3 linked regions of the Saccharomyces cerevisiae S288C genome follow. The protein of the gene in region 2 binds, or shares a complex with, the protein of the main gene of each other region. Each region holds a gene or a part of one and is shown on either strand. Other genes may lie near its edges. A codon is read from its position in the direction of its gene.

Region 1 (4,319 bases), on a different chromosome or scaffold from region 2:
ATCTGCTGGCAGTTTGTTCAATAGGGTTCTGACTTCCTGTTCCTGTCTTTGTTTTTTGGTTTCGAATGGGTTTAATTCTAAGGCATCGTAATTGGCTTCACCTGCACCAGGTACAATCAAATTCGTAATACCCGTTTGATGGCCTACACCTAGTAAATCTTCAAATGGTACGAATCCCAAATTTTCTACTTTGTTTCCGGCAAACAAATGTGACATGTAAGGGGTGTTTCTATGTGGGTTCCCTCCCATGGACCCGAAGCACGGTTTACTGTCTCCACTTAATTTTAAAGCGTCCTTCCACAACGTAACGTGAGGGCCCCTAGATAATGCCAATAGACCAGTATCTGAAATGGAAACGTTTGTTCCTGGCGTCGGTAAGCTTTCCACAGAATGTAGTTGCTTGAAGTTTCTGATATCCCAAATTTTCATCGACCTATCAGCCCCTGTGGTTGCCATGTAATACCCGCTTCTATCGATAGCAATGCTGTTCACTGGTCCTCTGGCAGAAAGTAATTTTACTAATGGTTCAGGCATGGATGGTGACCAGAGGGATACTGTACCGTTTGAATGACCTAGATGCATCACAGCATTCCATGGGTTTTGTGCCATTGCCATAGTTGGCCCAGCTTTGGTCCTCAATTCCGAGACCAACTGGCCAGTGGAAACATCGTGGTACTTCAACCAACCTGTCTCACCGGCAGTTACGAGCAGGTAATGATATGGTAGAAAATCTAAATGTCTTGCCTCAATATGTTGTTTCAAACGATGTAATTCTGTACCTTCGTGATCATAAATAAATGTATATTTTTTTTGCGCTACAGCAAAGTATTGTTCGTTTTGCAAATATGTCGCTGAGTGACAGGTTTCATTCAAAAACAGCTCAGCACGAAGTTGTCCCTTTCTCCAGTCCATAGATGCTACGTGACCTTTGCGGCCAGTAATCAAAAGATGCGTACCGTTTTTTGCATATTTTATATGATAAGGGCCGAATTCCTTCAAAGATAAATCCAAAGCTTTGTTTGCAGTACTGACATCCACACTCGATTTGATTTCCGATTGTTGCACTTTGAAAGTCTTTTCTAGCTCATTCTCAGGTTCCAAATAACCATTGGACTCGGGTAAAAGGTAATCTGTTGCCGCAGCAGAAGATACCGCCTTTTTATATTGCTCGTCTATTTTTTTCAAGCCTGCTCTTAGTTTTTTATCCTTTGTTTGAGTATGATTATTTTTAGCATTATTAGTATATGTGGAACGTTCAAATTTATTCTGGTTTTCTCTTTCTTTTATCTGGCGTCTGTGACCGTTCTTCTTGTGACCCATTGTGTCGTTGGAATCTGGTTCAGTTTCTTAAAGCTAGGATACTGAGTTTTTAATGCTATATATGGATTTTTTTTTACTATTGAACTCCAATTCAGTTCTATACATCGATTTTTCACGAACTCATCGCTTAGAAAATTTTCTTACCGTTTTTCTTTTTTTTTCAATTACCTGAAAAGAAAGCCGGGAATAATGTCGGGTTATGAGAACAATGTATTATATTACTGAACTATCTAGAATTTATAAGTACGTCAATAAGCCTAAGACAATTAGCACAAACGAAATGTCAGTGATTAGCATGGACAATAGATCCCAGTATTGCAAAAGGGTAATTAGCTTCCCCTTCAGGTTGGCGACGGGAATTACTCCCTCGGGCACCAGTGAAACTAACTTGACAAGTTTATTGGTATCTTGTAAATTTTTAATCTTGCTCTTGTGTTCCACATTCTTCAATAGCTGGTAGTAGATGGATATGGAAAGGAACTCAAACGTGGCAAAAATTCTAGTGAAATTCGATGGGTTCCGCAAAGGTGCAAACCAAGCTGATTGAGTAAATGCATAGGCCGGCCACACAGAGGAATTTGGTCTTGTGATTAGGTATAGATAGGGTAGTAGGAAAAAGACCCACTTCACAAGAATGGTCCAGGCTTTCAGTCTGTTCAGCAAGTAATCATGGTAGTCCAAAGCAGCTTGATTGATCGGGGCTGCAGGAGCCGCTTGACCAAACGATGGTGTACCCTCTGCACTGGGCATGCCAGTGTTCATAGAACTTAGTAGTGAGAGTAGATCGGGCGTAGAGGAGTCCTGAGGGGTACTTTTACCCGTACCTTGGCCTTGCATGGCAGCGAGCTGTTTCAATAGGTCCAATTGGGGCGCTACGTTGCTATCTTCTTTGATATCTGGAGTAGCCGAATGCACACTCGCAGGTGGTGTGGTCTTTGCAGCGCTAGGAGCGTCTAAAGGTGATTCTGCGTTCAAATGACTGCTTGCCTGCCCGGTGATTTTATTAAGCCTGGAGCTGGCACCTCCATTGCTAAACTTCTTCTGTCTCCTTTCCCTTAGTAACCTGCGCTTTTCCGCCTCTGTTAATTCAGACATATTTCCTAGAGCTACGTTGCTGATGCTACAAACATGGAAGAGCTCATTTGTACATATCCATATCATTCAAATCTTTTCATGTTCCTATTCTTGTTCTTTTGTCCCAGCAAACGCGCACGGCGGGGTCACCCCAAATTTTTATTTACCTTATGTTATAAGAGCAACCATCTCATCCCCAAACTTCTCCCTCCCTCCCTTTTCACAAAGAGAGTAATGCTCAACCCAAGTAGCCATCCGCCTTCCCCGGATTTTCCCACAGGATCTTCTGCAAGTCCTAGGGTCAAACTGAGACCATCCACGTTGTGGGCACCACCACTCACAGTATCCTCTGACTTTGCGGCTTCCAGTAGTTCTACTGCCCCTGTCACCGTCACAGATAAACCTGTCACACCCGCTGTATCAAAGCGGTATCAACCTTAACTCAGATTTTCAAGAAACAGAATAGCACATTCTCTAACATCAAGTTATCATACCAATATATAACACAAATTATGCATAAATAGATAAGTAATATGTCCCTCTGCCCCTGCCTTTCCCTTTCCAGATGCTGGCATCGAAAGTAAGGCATGTATTTGTATGTAAGTTTTTTAATTAATAGTCTTCTTCTTTCTTATCAGTCGTGCTCTTCTTTCCAAATTAATAGGTTTGAATCTTATCGGAATCACCTGGAATTCGTTCTCATTACATGGCCGCCCACCATGCACCTTTACATTTCGTATTTCTTTCCTCTCTGCGCTATATCTTTGGGAAAGATTTGCAATCAAGGCAAACACCCGCTTGTCCCCTTTCAATTCTTGTGTTATTTCAAAAACCATCCTTTCATAATATATTTGTATTTCTTTCGCCCTGGACTCTACCAGTTCATATTTAGAACCTTCCACATATCGTCCAATTCTGCAGCCCACATCTTTTTCCACCACGATACGGGAAACAGAATGGGTCCTTGGATTCTCGCTAAACAGTCTCTCTATTCCCCTGTTCAAAACCCTCAAGATATTTGTTTCCCGCAACAGCTGCAATTGCAATTGATCAATCCTATGCGAAAATGCCGAGTTTATGTTATTCAAGACGCATTTTAAAAAATTCACTAGCGGCTCCTTGAAATTCATTATGTCTGATGAATATGAAAACCTTTTCCTGACTACCAAGACTCTTTAACTCTTCTCTCTTTATTGCATATTATCTCTGCTATTTTGTGACGTTCAATTTTAATTGACGCGAAAAAGAAAAAATAAGAAGGGCAAAAAGAAAAAGCGCAGCGGGTAGCAAATTTGGAATCGCATAAAAAGAAAAAAAAAATATCAAAGAAAAAGAGTCATCTCAAACATATGTCTGCAGATACTTCATTATCAGCTTTGAAAACTTTTGTTGTTGCTGCTTTGAGTTCTTTCTTGTGTGAGTGCTACAAGCCACATTTAAACTAAGTCAATTACACAAAGTTAGTGATGTCAGCTACTCTACTAAAGCAACCATTATGTACGGTTGTTCGGCAAGGTAAACAGTCCAAAGTGTCTGGATTGAACCTTTTGAGACTAAAGGCTCATTTGCACAGACAACACCTGTCACCTTCCTTGATAAAACTACACTCTGAATTGAAATTGGATGAGCTGCAAACTGATAACACCCCTGATTACGTCCGTTTAGTTTTAAGGTCCTCTGTATACGATGTTATTAATGAATCTCCAATCTCTCAAGGTGTAGGTTTGTCTTCCCGTCTAAACACGAATGTCATCTTGAAAAGAGAAGATCTATTGCCTGTTTTCTCTTTCAAGCTTCGTGGTGCCTATAACATGATTGCCAAGTTGGACGATTCTCAAAGAAACCAGGGTGTTATTGCCTGTTCAGCTGGGAATCATGCCCAAGGTGTGGCCTTTGCTGCTAAACACTTGAAAATACCTGCTACT
Region 2 (5,074 bases):
TCATCCTGTCTCAAACATGTTTTTCTGACGATTCTTTCAAATAGTTCGCCATCGTCGATCTTTTCCAGTACCAAATATTTTTGAATCTGAGATTTGCTGATTGGCTCTACAAAACTATCTAGTAAGTTGACAATGTTTGGATGTTGCACTCTCATTAGGATGTTAGTTTCCTCCCTAAATTGTTTATTCTTTTTTTGGTCGTCATTTTGCTGAGCGTGGAATATTTTCACAGCTACTTGCTGACCAGTTTTTTTGTTTTTGGCTTCTTTCACCAGGGCGTAGTGCCCTGCACCTAATTCTTTACCTAATAAATATTTATCAAAGAACGACACAGGCCTTGTCTTATTCAGTTTTCTAATTGCGGCACTCGTTGTAGCATTTTGGCTACTTGTAGCACTTATTTGCGGTTTCTTGAAAACTTCGTCGTCGTTCTTATATGAACGACTTTCTGAACTTACCTTTTCATCGTCATTTTCGATGTCAGTAGAAGATGAAGATGCGTACTTGAACAAAAAGGAGCAACTTTTGCCAAAGACAATTCTGTCACCATTCTTAAGGATGTAGTCTTTCTTCACCAAACGATTACCATTAATAAAAGTTCCGTTTCTGCTCTTATCGATAACATTAATCAAATTTCTTTGGAAATTATCCACATCCATTTGCAGTAGATGAAACTCAGCATGGAAAGTCGAGATGTCAGGCTCACTCAATATAACGTCGCACGACCTACTTCTACCGATTGTAGTAACGTTTCTATTTGTTATTTCCACTTTTTGCTCCTTTCCGGGTATTAAGTTCACCAGATGGCCCAGACAAGTGTATTCTGAGCTGGGCTTATTACTTCGTTGCTGTCTTTTGAATGAAGAGTCAGTTACATCACCAGAGTGCTCTCTTTTCGTGGACAAACTCATCTTCACTATAATTGCCTTTTTTACTGTATGTTAAGCCCCTTTACTTGTTACTCTCGACTATAAAGGGTTCTCATTTCCTCCTTTTTCAACAATATCTAATAATTTTCCAAAATCATTTGAAAAATACCATGGAAATAAAATGGAAAAAAGTAAACAAACGCGTCGCGTCACGTAATTTTTTTCTTTTCACACACATACCATCGTATTACTATTTTTTCTATGGTTATATGTCGTATGTATCTATTTATGGTATTCAGGGGCTTCTATTCCTTATCTTCTAACTCATAAATGACTTTGCCATCAGTAATAGGGTTATATTCTTTGTTTAGGAACTGTGAGAACTTTGTTAAGTTATTTAAGCCTCTGATTTCTCCAGCACATAATGGCATTTTAACGACATGGAAATCTTCGTACAATTCGTCGATTTGGTCCAAGTACTTCTTTTGCATCTTCCATCTTGCCTGACATCTCTTACAGTTGTGCTCTTGATCGTTTTCAGCAAATAATAATTGGTTGACAATGATGGAATTAACGTCCATATCGTAGGAAATCAATTCCTGAATTAGTCTTTCAGTTTCATATAAGGATAAGAATTCACTGATACAAACGCAAACAAAAGTCGTTAGGTCAGGATCCGTGAATTGTTGTCTGATGGTCTCGACATTAGCCTTTAACTCGTTCAATTTTCCAGAGATATCGACATTACCTGCGCCCATAAAAGAGTTTAGCATTGGGCCCAATTTGTTGGTAATTTCACCGAACTTTTCCAAAAGCTTGGATAAAGTATTTGGTAGTTGTAGAAATCTTAATGTGTGGCCAGTTGGAGCAGTGTCAAAAATAACAGTATCGAAGGTTTCACCTTCGCCCTGTTCTTGCCTTTTAATGTGCTTCATGACTTCCATGAAGGATAAAGCTTCGTCGATACCAGGGATGGAACCGGTCAAATCAGCAAGAGCACCACCTTGAAGCAAGCTTCCTAGATCGTCACCTTGACCGTCACTTCCGTTATTGTTAGCGCGTGAAACTGCCATGTCGTTCATATCCTTCAAAGCAGCGGATGGATCGATTTCCATACATGATAGATTATTCATGCCTGTCACCTTTCTGGCGTCTTTACCAAATTTCTCACCGAATGCATCACTTAAGTTATGGGCAGGATCAGTAGAGATCAGTAGGAACTGTTTGTTTGGTTGACTCAAAGCCATTTGGATAGCAATGGAACATGATGAAGTAGTCTTACCAACACCACCTTTACCACCAACGAAAATCCACTTATGAGTGGTAGAGGTAATTAAAGAGTGCAAATTAGGTTCCACGGTTAAATCCATAATTACAATGTGATGATCTTCTTGTTCTTGTCGTACGTTTTCCTAAACGCTGCGTTGGCTTCCCTCAACTTGTTTGAAGTTGCCACCGTTTTATCCATTTTCGCTTTTGAAAAAAAAAAAATGGTTGAGAATCCCCAGCACTATTAATTAGTACTATTGTTACGAAGATCTTGTGATAAAAAAGGGATGTAATAATTTGCATTGAACCAACCTGAATTGAGCAAGTTTATCATATAGTTACAATGTCTGAACAGGAGTCTGATGAAGTTAAGCGTATGAAACAATTGGAAGAGGCTAGAAAGAGAGTAGAAGAATTGAAGAAAAAGAAAAATAAAAAGAATAAAGGTAAGAAGAATAAAAATAGCAGTGCCACAGGCTCTATAGGATCTGAAACTCCTGATTTAGAGGGCACACCAGGCGAAGAGTCCACACAGGAGGAGACTGTGAAAGCAAATTCCACCAAAAGTGAAAACAACGATCAAAATGACGTGGATGAGGAGAGTGAAGAAAAAGAAATAGAACAGGTTAAATCAGATCCTTCGGGCACAACAGAAAAAGATATTGAGGAAATAAATAGTACTTCATCAAATGTGGGAAAGGATGATGCAGAAAACACAAAAAAAGAGGAAGTTCAAGAAGTTATAAAAAATAACAACGATGAGCAAACAGCAGATGCCGGAAAGACCATAGAACCACAAGAGGAAAAGAAAATTGTACAAACTCAAGAAGGAAACGAACCTTCAAATACATCAGAAGCAGCAGACGATTTATTTGCCAATGACGGCAATGAAGAATCTGACTTTCTCACCACGATTAAAAAGCAAAAAGAAGAAGATGAGTTGACCAAACTAAGGGCGGAAAATGAGAAACTCACACAGGAAAATAAACAACTGAAATTTTTGAATATGGAAAATGAAACTACTGTCGATGACCTACAGGATCAATTGCAGGAAAAAGAAGACATCATTAATGGTTTACAAAACGATTTGCAAACCGCAAGGGATGAATTAATTGCCGCAGTAGAAAAATTAAAATTAGCAGAAGCTAAGGCAGCAAGAAATACCACAGCAACTCCTATTCAATTTGCGGATTTCAACACTTCAAGCAATAATCTAACTCCCTCACAATCTGTAACCAATTCTGGTACGCAGGTGGCCCACGGGAATAATATGGAAGTGGATCGCGTTATGCTGAACAAATGGCGCCAGTGGAACGTAGACATGACCACTTGGAGAAGTATTGGTTCTGGCCCAATAATGGAATTTTGAGAATGAATATTTTCGCGTATATATTTTAATTAAGGGTTTATATACATAAAAGATATATCTAATGATCTGATCTGAGTCCCGACTTTTTATATGTGCTCTATGCTTGTATTATGCTCATTTATCTTTACTTGGTTTCTCATTTTTTAGAGGTGGCAAAATTGGAAAATCCCATCATTTGACTGACTTTTGATTCACTCTCAATAGAAGGCTTAGTAGCCACTTTCTTTGCTTTCTCCACATCTGTGTCCAAAAGCCTTTTCCTCTTGGACTGAGTCTCCATAGAACGCACCTCTACAAAATCCTTTATCAAGTTATGATAGCACAACTCAAACTCCTCTTGCGGTACGTCATCATTATCTCTTATATCTATAATTAACGGTTCATCAAACAAATTTTCAAATTTTATTGCATGGACCTTGTGGTTGAGATGATCAATGTATTGTAAAGTGTCTTTGAAGGTTAGGTTACAAATATCGCAGTAAAATCCGAACTTCTTTCCCCTCTTGAAAGACGATAAGCTCTCTGTATTTGCTGTTAGTTTCCTTTTATTTAGGTCTTTTAGCGAGCCCTTGATTAAATGATCGTAATTTGTATATTTGGATTTTAAAGCTTGTAATTCAATCGGTGTTAGCGTAGCCTTTAAGGATCGATCGTCATAGCCGCTTCTAGCCTGCTCAGCATACTCCTCTCTATCCCAAGTTCTTCTGCCAAAATTCGACATTAGCTTTCTCGAATTTTTGTCAGCTAAGGCTTGTAGGAACTTCTGGTTTTGATGAACTTTCGCATCAACTGTTTTCTATTTAGCGGCGCATTCGATTAAACTTCTTCCTTTCTTAGGAGAAAAAAAAGAAAAATCATACTTATGTATTTTCTGCATTTTATAAGTTTATTTAGGAATTCTTACTCTGGTACTTGTGAGTATACATACATATATATACATGTAAACCTAATACAAGACACTTGCCTTTTCAAATAGTTGATCGACGACTTTATTTAGTTGCCCGACTAATTCCAATGCAGAGTCGTACGTGGCATCCTGATTCGGAGTTTCGTAAACGTAAAGCCAACCATTACCTTGATCCAGAACACCGTAGAATATCTTATCTAGTATCATTTGGGAGAGCTTTCCTTCAACTTGTTGAGTATCCAGACCGATTATTTTGGAAATGTGGGATATTTCCACACATTCAAATGGCTCAATAATCTTACACAAATTGGACTCTAATAACGTGTCGTATAATGCATTGAAATGGGATCTTGTTAGTTCATCGCCCATTAGTTCCTTCTCGTATTGCTTTAGCGCCGTGTTGAAGTCTAAAAGCGATCTGTTGTTATAAGCCTCAGCGACAGCTTTCATGGCATCAATGCCTCGGGACTGGTACGTTTCCTTTGTGTATTTTGCGTTTAGGATGTTTTTTACGTCATCAATAAGGTTCAGCATGATCTTAGACAATAGCATGTATTTCAACACTTGACATGCCTTTTCGTAGGAATTATGCGTAGTCAAATTGTGGTAGCTTTCAAAACTTTCGAAGAAATACGAAAATGCAGTTTTGTAGTCTTTATC
Region 3 (4,037 bases), on a different chromosome or scaffold from region 2:
TTTTATAAGCTTGTTTCTCTTCTTACCGCTAGTAGAAGTTGGTGTTCCTGAGTTACTTCCATTGGCTCCACCGGCCGTACTATTACTATTATCGCTTGGCGGCGTAACGTTGGTGGCCTGGAAACTTCCCAACAAAGCATCGCTTCTTCTTTTCATTGTGACGCTATTCTTATTGGCACGGCTGAGGGCAATAAACTTTCCCACTTTCTCGTTGATCTTGTTGTTCCTTTGATCTAACTTTTCTCTTGTAATTCCGAATTTTTGGCGTTTTGGTAATTCCAAGGGGAAGTTGTCTATTACATACGTCTAGTGATGTGGAATACTATAAATGTCTTGGTATTGTTATCCTTTTCCCCGTATATCAGCCTCTACCCCATTAGTAATATGGCATGGAACCTTTTAACGTTTTTCTAATTTCCGCGGATTTAACTCCGTTCACTATGATTTCTGCCAGTATGATACTGGCAGAAATCTACATTCGCTATATATAAAGAGGATATACTGGTAATAACTACAGCTTCCATGTGAGCTTAAAACGATCATGCTCATCTTTCTTCATCTTGATAGAGATTGGTAATGCTGTCATACTCCCGTGATTATAAAGCAGAATGAGAAATATTGAGACAACCGTAAAAACAGCTACTGCCCAGAATTTAAACCTTCAAACTTCATCATCAGAAAGGTATACTGTGTAAATAATGCGTAAATAGTAGGAGCATGGTGTTCTCTTGTCGTTGAAAGAACATCTGCGGCGAGCACGTGCGGCTTAATTCTCAAACGTCTCGCGGAGGTAAATAGTGTAAAGGGAAGCCTCAACTTTAAGACATGAAATCACACTGAAATAACGCCTGAAAGGTCAGGAACAGTGAGTACGTAGGAGTATAAGAGCGTGGGGAAACACAAAATGGGCAAAACCGCGGATAATCATGGTCCAGTACGTTCTGAGACAGCACGTGAAGGAAGAGAAAACCAGGTTTACTCACCCGTTACAGGTGCAAGATTAGTTGCTGGCTGCATATGTTTAACACCCGACAAGAAGCAAGTTCTCATGATTACTTCTTCTGCACACAAGAAAAGATGGATTGTCCCCAAAGGTGGCGTTGAGAAAGACGAGCCTAATTACGAGACGACTGCCCAACGAGAAACTTGGGAGGAAGCTGGTTGCATAGGTAAAATTGTCGCCAATTTGGGTACAGTTGAAGACATGAGACCCCCTAAGGACTGGAACAAAGACATTAAGCAATTCGAGAACTCTCGAAAAGATTCAGAAGTAGCAAAGCACCCGCCAAGAACCGAATTTCATTTTTATGAATTAGAGATTGAAAATCTCCTTGATAAATTTCCGGAATGTCACAAAAGACATAGAAAGCTATACTCTTATACAGAAGCTAAACAAAACTTGATAGACGCCAAGAGGCCTGAATTGTTGGAGGCCCTTAATAGGTCTGCTATCATTAAAGACGACAAATAGCTAGCACATACATATATATGTATATACGTCATGGTCGTCAAGCCACCGCAAACATATTTATCTATTCCTTCGCAAATATGCTCTTTTCACTTCGATCCGCCCAGGAATCCCGACATCATGTCTTGTAGGAAATTCGTTTGTTTAGGAGCAACAATATTGAAATATTCCTGGCCCAAAAATTCTAACTCACTTTTGTAAGCTTGAGAAAAATCTAAATAATGGTTCTTTAAATTCAAGAAATAGCTCTTATCCTTAGTCTGACAGGTAATTAGCAACAATTGCAAAAAATTTAGGTCGGAATAATCTTCAAAAAAAACTATTTCATAACCATTTTTATCAATTTTCTCGTACTTGGGGTGAAATTTCTCAATAAATCTTTCCAAAAAAATGTCTTTTGATTCATGTGCAAATGATATGTTAGAGATGAATAAATAGTTGAAAACCAATCTGCTGAAGAACTCAGCCACCGTGCTATCTTCGATATCATCAACTTGGCATAACCAGTCCCATAGTAAATCGACATATTTGATCATTGAATCATGTGTACCTAACATAAAATATCTCTCAGCTTCATAAACGAAATCTCCCTCTAATAGTTTGCTACCAATGGTGTTGTGCAAGTAAGGATCTCCAAATTTGTATTCACTAAATTTGATAGACCAATTGTTCATACCAGTAATAACGTCCTTTAAATTGGGCTCGCTAGGATCCAATTCGGCTATTAATCTAACCAATCTAGCAACTGAGATGTCATCAACTTTAACTTCCGCTAAATCATAAACTTCTAAAAGATAGAAGATCAAATCCGTGCCTGAACCGCCCTGCTTCGCCTTTAAAAATGAAAGGGCCCCTTGACTAATTAGTTCTATGGCATGCTCGTATGATTTACTTCTAACATATCTATTAGCAATAGTTCTCAACGTTTGATGCGCTTCGTAATAATCTCCAGCTTTGATCTTATTTTCGAATCTTTGTAAGGTTTTAGCGAGTTTCGCTTGTACAGCATTAGATTCAGCAGGAACCATAGCTTGTTATTATTATTTATGTCCCTTTATGATGTTTACTTGGTTGTTTTACCGCACATGTTATTATTTCATTTTTTTGACTTTCCTTTCACTTTTTTTCCCATTGTTTGTTACCTTAACGAAGAGCGACAAAACGAACAAAATACTGAAAGGTGTATTTTGATGGTAAATAATTATTGACTTATTTCAACAAACGGGCTACTAACTCACTCGACGGTTGACATACTTTAGTCATGGCTGATAGACCTGCTATTCAGTTGATAGATGAAGAGAAGGAATTTCATCAAAGTGCATTACAATATTTTCAACAATGTATTGGAAATCGTGATGTTGGTCTAGATTACCATGTCATCTCAGTTTTCGGTTCTCAATCGAGTGGTAAATCGACTTTACTTAACGTCTTGTTTAACACCAACTTTGATACCATGGATGCTCAGGTGAAAAGGCAGCAGACTACTAAAGGCATTTGGTTGGCTCACACTAAACAGGTTAATACAACTATTGAAATCGATAATGATCGTCCAGATATTTTTGTGCTAGATGTTGAGGGCTCCGATGGTTCAGAAAGAGGTGAAGACCAAGATTTTGAGAGAAAAGCCGCTTTATTTGCCATTGCAGTATCTGAAGTTCTTATAGTTAATATGTGGGAGCAGCAAATTGGGCTATATCAAGGTAATAATATGGCTTTATTAAAAACAGTTTTTGAGGTCAACCTTTCCCTATTTGGCAAGAATGATAATGACCACAAGGTGCTGTTACTTTTTGTAATTAGAGATCATGTAGGTGTGACTCCACTCTCGAGTTTGAGTGATTCCGTTACGAGAGAATTGGAAAAAATATGGACAGAGTTAAGTAAACCTGCTGGTTGTGAGGGTTCTAGCCTGTATGATTATTTCGATTTAAAGTTTGTCGGGCTAGCTCATAAGTTGTTGCAAGAAGACAAATTTACCCAGGATGTCAAGAAATTAGGTGATTCGTTTGTGATGAAAGGTACGGAAAACTATTATTTCAAACCTCAATATCACCATAGGTTGCCATTAGATGGTTGGACTATGTACGCAGAAAATTGTTGGGATCAAATTGAACGTAACAAGGATTTAGATCTTCCAACTCAGCAAATTCTGGTTGCTAGATTTAAAACTGAAGAAATATCTAATGAAGCTCTAGAAGAGTTCATTTCAAAATATGATGAATCGATTGCTCCTTTAAAGGGTAACTTGGGATCTTTAACATCTCAGCTAGTGAAGCTAAAAGAAGAATGTCTGACAAAATATGATGAACAAGCATCGCGCTATGCAAGAAACGTTTATATGGAGAAACGAGAAGCTTTAAATACAAAGCTGAATTCACATATTTCAGGTACAATTAATGAGTTCTTGGAATCATTAATGGAAAAGTTATGGGACGATTTAAAATTGGAGGTGTCTTCTAGAGACAAAGCTACTACCTCTTTTGTAGAAAGTGTGGCGGCAGGTAAGAGTAAGATTGAGAAAGAATTTAACGAATCAATGGAGACCTTCAAAAAGTTAGGGCTACTAATA

What was found. Proteins that work in one complex are often made in the same cells at the same time.
Region 1: the proteins of GET3 (region 2) and GET2 are in contact, whole or in part, in a crystal structure (PDB 3ZS9), measured with the Saccharomyces cerevisiae proteins. Residues at the interface, in NP_010183.1 of Saccharomyces cerevisiae: Val5 (codon at 2,227), Ser11 (codon at 2,209), Pro233 (codon at 1,543), Phe246 (codon at 1,504), Leu249 (codon at 1,495), Tyr250 (codon at 1,492), Glu253 (codon at 1,483), Arg254 (codon at 1,480), Ile256 (codon at 1,474), Gln257 (codon at 1,471), Ile260 (codon at 1,462), Asp265 (codon at 1,447), Val266 (codon at 1,444), Asn267 (codon at 1,441), Gln301 (codon at 1,339), Glu304 (codon at 1,330), Leu305 (codon at 1,327), Tyr306 (codon at 1,324), Glu307 (codon at 1,321), Asp308 (codon at 1,318), Phe309 (codon at 1,315), His310 (codon at 1,312); in NP_011006.2 of Saccharomyces cerevisiae: Lys9 (codon at 2,391), Arg10 (codon at 2,388), Leu13 (codon at 2,379), Arg14 (codon at 2,376), Arg16 (codon at 2,370), Arg17 (codon at 2,367), Lys20 (codon at 2,358), Phe21 (codon at 2,355), Ala26 (codon at 2,340), Arg29 (codon at 2,331), Leu30 (codon at 2,328), Lys32 (codon at 2,322), Ile33 (codon at 2,319), Thr34 (codon at 2,316), Gln36 (codon at 2,310), Ala37 (codon at 2,307).
Region 3: the proteins of GET3 (region 2) and GET4 are in contact, whole or in part, in a crystal structure (PDB 5BWK), measured with the Saccharomyces cerevisiae proteins. Residues at the interface, in NP_010183.1 of Saccharomyces cerevisiae: Val5 (codon at 2,227), Phe230 (codon at 1,552), Pro233 (codon at 1,543), Asp234 (codon at 1,540), Glu253 (codon at 1,483), Gln257 (codon at 1,471), Ile260 (codon at 1,462), Ser261 (codon at 1,459), Asp263 (codon at 1,453), Asp265 (codon at 1,447), Val266 (codon at 1,444), Asn267 (codon at 1,441), Glu304 (codon at 1,330), Leu305 (codon at 1,327), Tyr306 (codon at 1,324), Glu307 (codon at 1,321), Asp308 (codon at 1,318), Phe309 (codon at 1,315); in NP_014807.3 of Saccharomyces cerevisiae: Ala11 (codon at 2,466), Lys12 (codon at 2,463), Thr16 (codon at 2,451), Arg19 (codon at 2,442), Lys23 (codon at 2,430), Gln34 (codon at 2,397), Thr35 (codon at 2,394), Ile39 (codon at 2,382), Arg42 (codon at 2,373), Tyr43 (codon at 2,370), Arg45 (codon at 2,364), Ser46 (codon at 2,361), Ser48 (codon at 2,355), His51 (codon at 2,346).

What each region holds. Positions count from the first base shown.
Region 1 is NC_001137.3:324,617-328,935, forward strand, and holds GET2 (GET complex subunit GET2), read right to left. Parts: upstream 2,416-4,319; coding exon 1,558-2,415; downstream 1-1,557. Other genes in the region: UTP7 (Utp7p), read right to left, coding at 1-1,320; YER084W (uncharacterized protein), read left to right, coding at 2,449-2,835; YER085C (uncharacterized protein), read right to left, coding at 3,003-3,524; threonine ammonia-lyase ILV1, read left to right, coding at 3,861-4,319. UniProt on the Saccharomyces cerevisiae protein: Required for the post-translational delivery of tail-anchored (TA) proteins to the endoplasmic reticulum.
Region 2 is NC_001136.10:280,938-286,011, forward strand, and holds GET3 (guanine nucleotide exchange factor GET3), read right to left. Parts: upstream 2,240-5,074; coding exon 1,175-2,239; downstream 1-1,174. Other genes in the region: serine/threonine protein kinase DUN1, read right to left, coding at 1-911; BUG1 (Bug1p), read left to right, coding at 2,482-3,507; U4/U6-U5 snRNP complex subunit SNU23, read right to left, coding at 3,644-4,228; proteasome regulatory particle lid subunit RPN6, read right to left, coding at 4,454-5,074. UniProt on the Saccharomyces cerevisiae protein: ATPase required for the post-translational delivery of tail-anchored (TA) proteins to the endoplasmic reticulum. Recognizes and selectively binds the transmembrane domain of TA proteins in the cytosol.
Region 3 is NC_001147.6:641,837-645,873, forward strand, and holds GET4 (protein GET4), read right to left. Parts: upstream 2,497-4,037; coding exon 1,558-2,496; downstream 1-1,557. Other genes in the region: YRR1 (Yrr1p), read right to left, coding at 1-156; polyphosphatase DDP1, read left to right, coding at 905-1,471; dynamin-like GTPase SEY1, read left to right, coding at 2,730-4,037. UniProt on the Saccharomyces cerevisiae protein: May play a role in insertion of tail-anchored proteins into the endoplasmic reticulum membrane.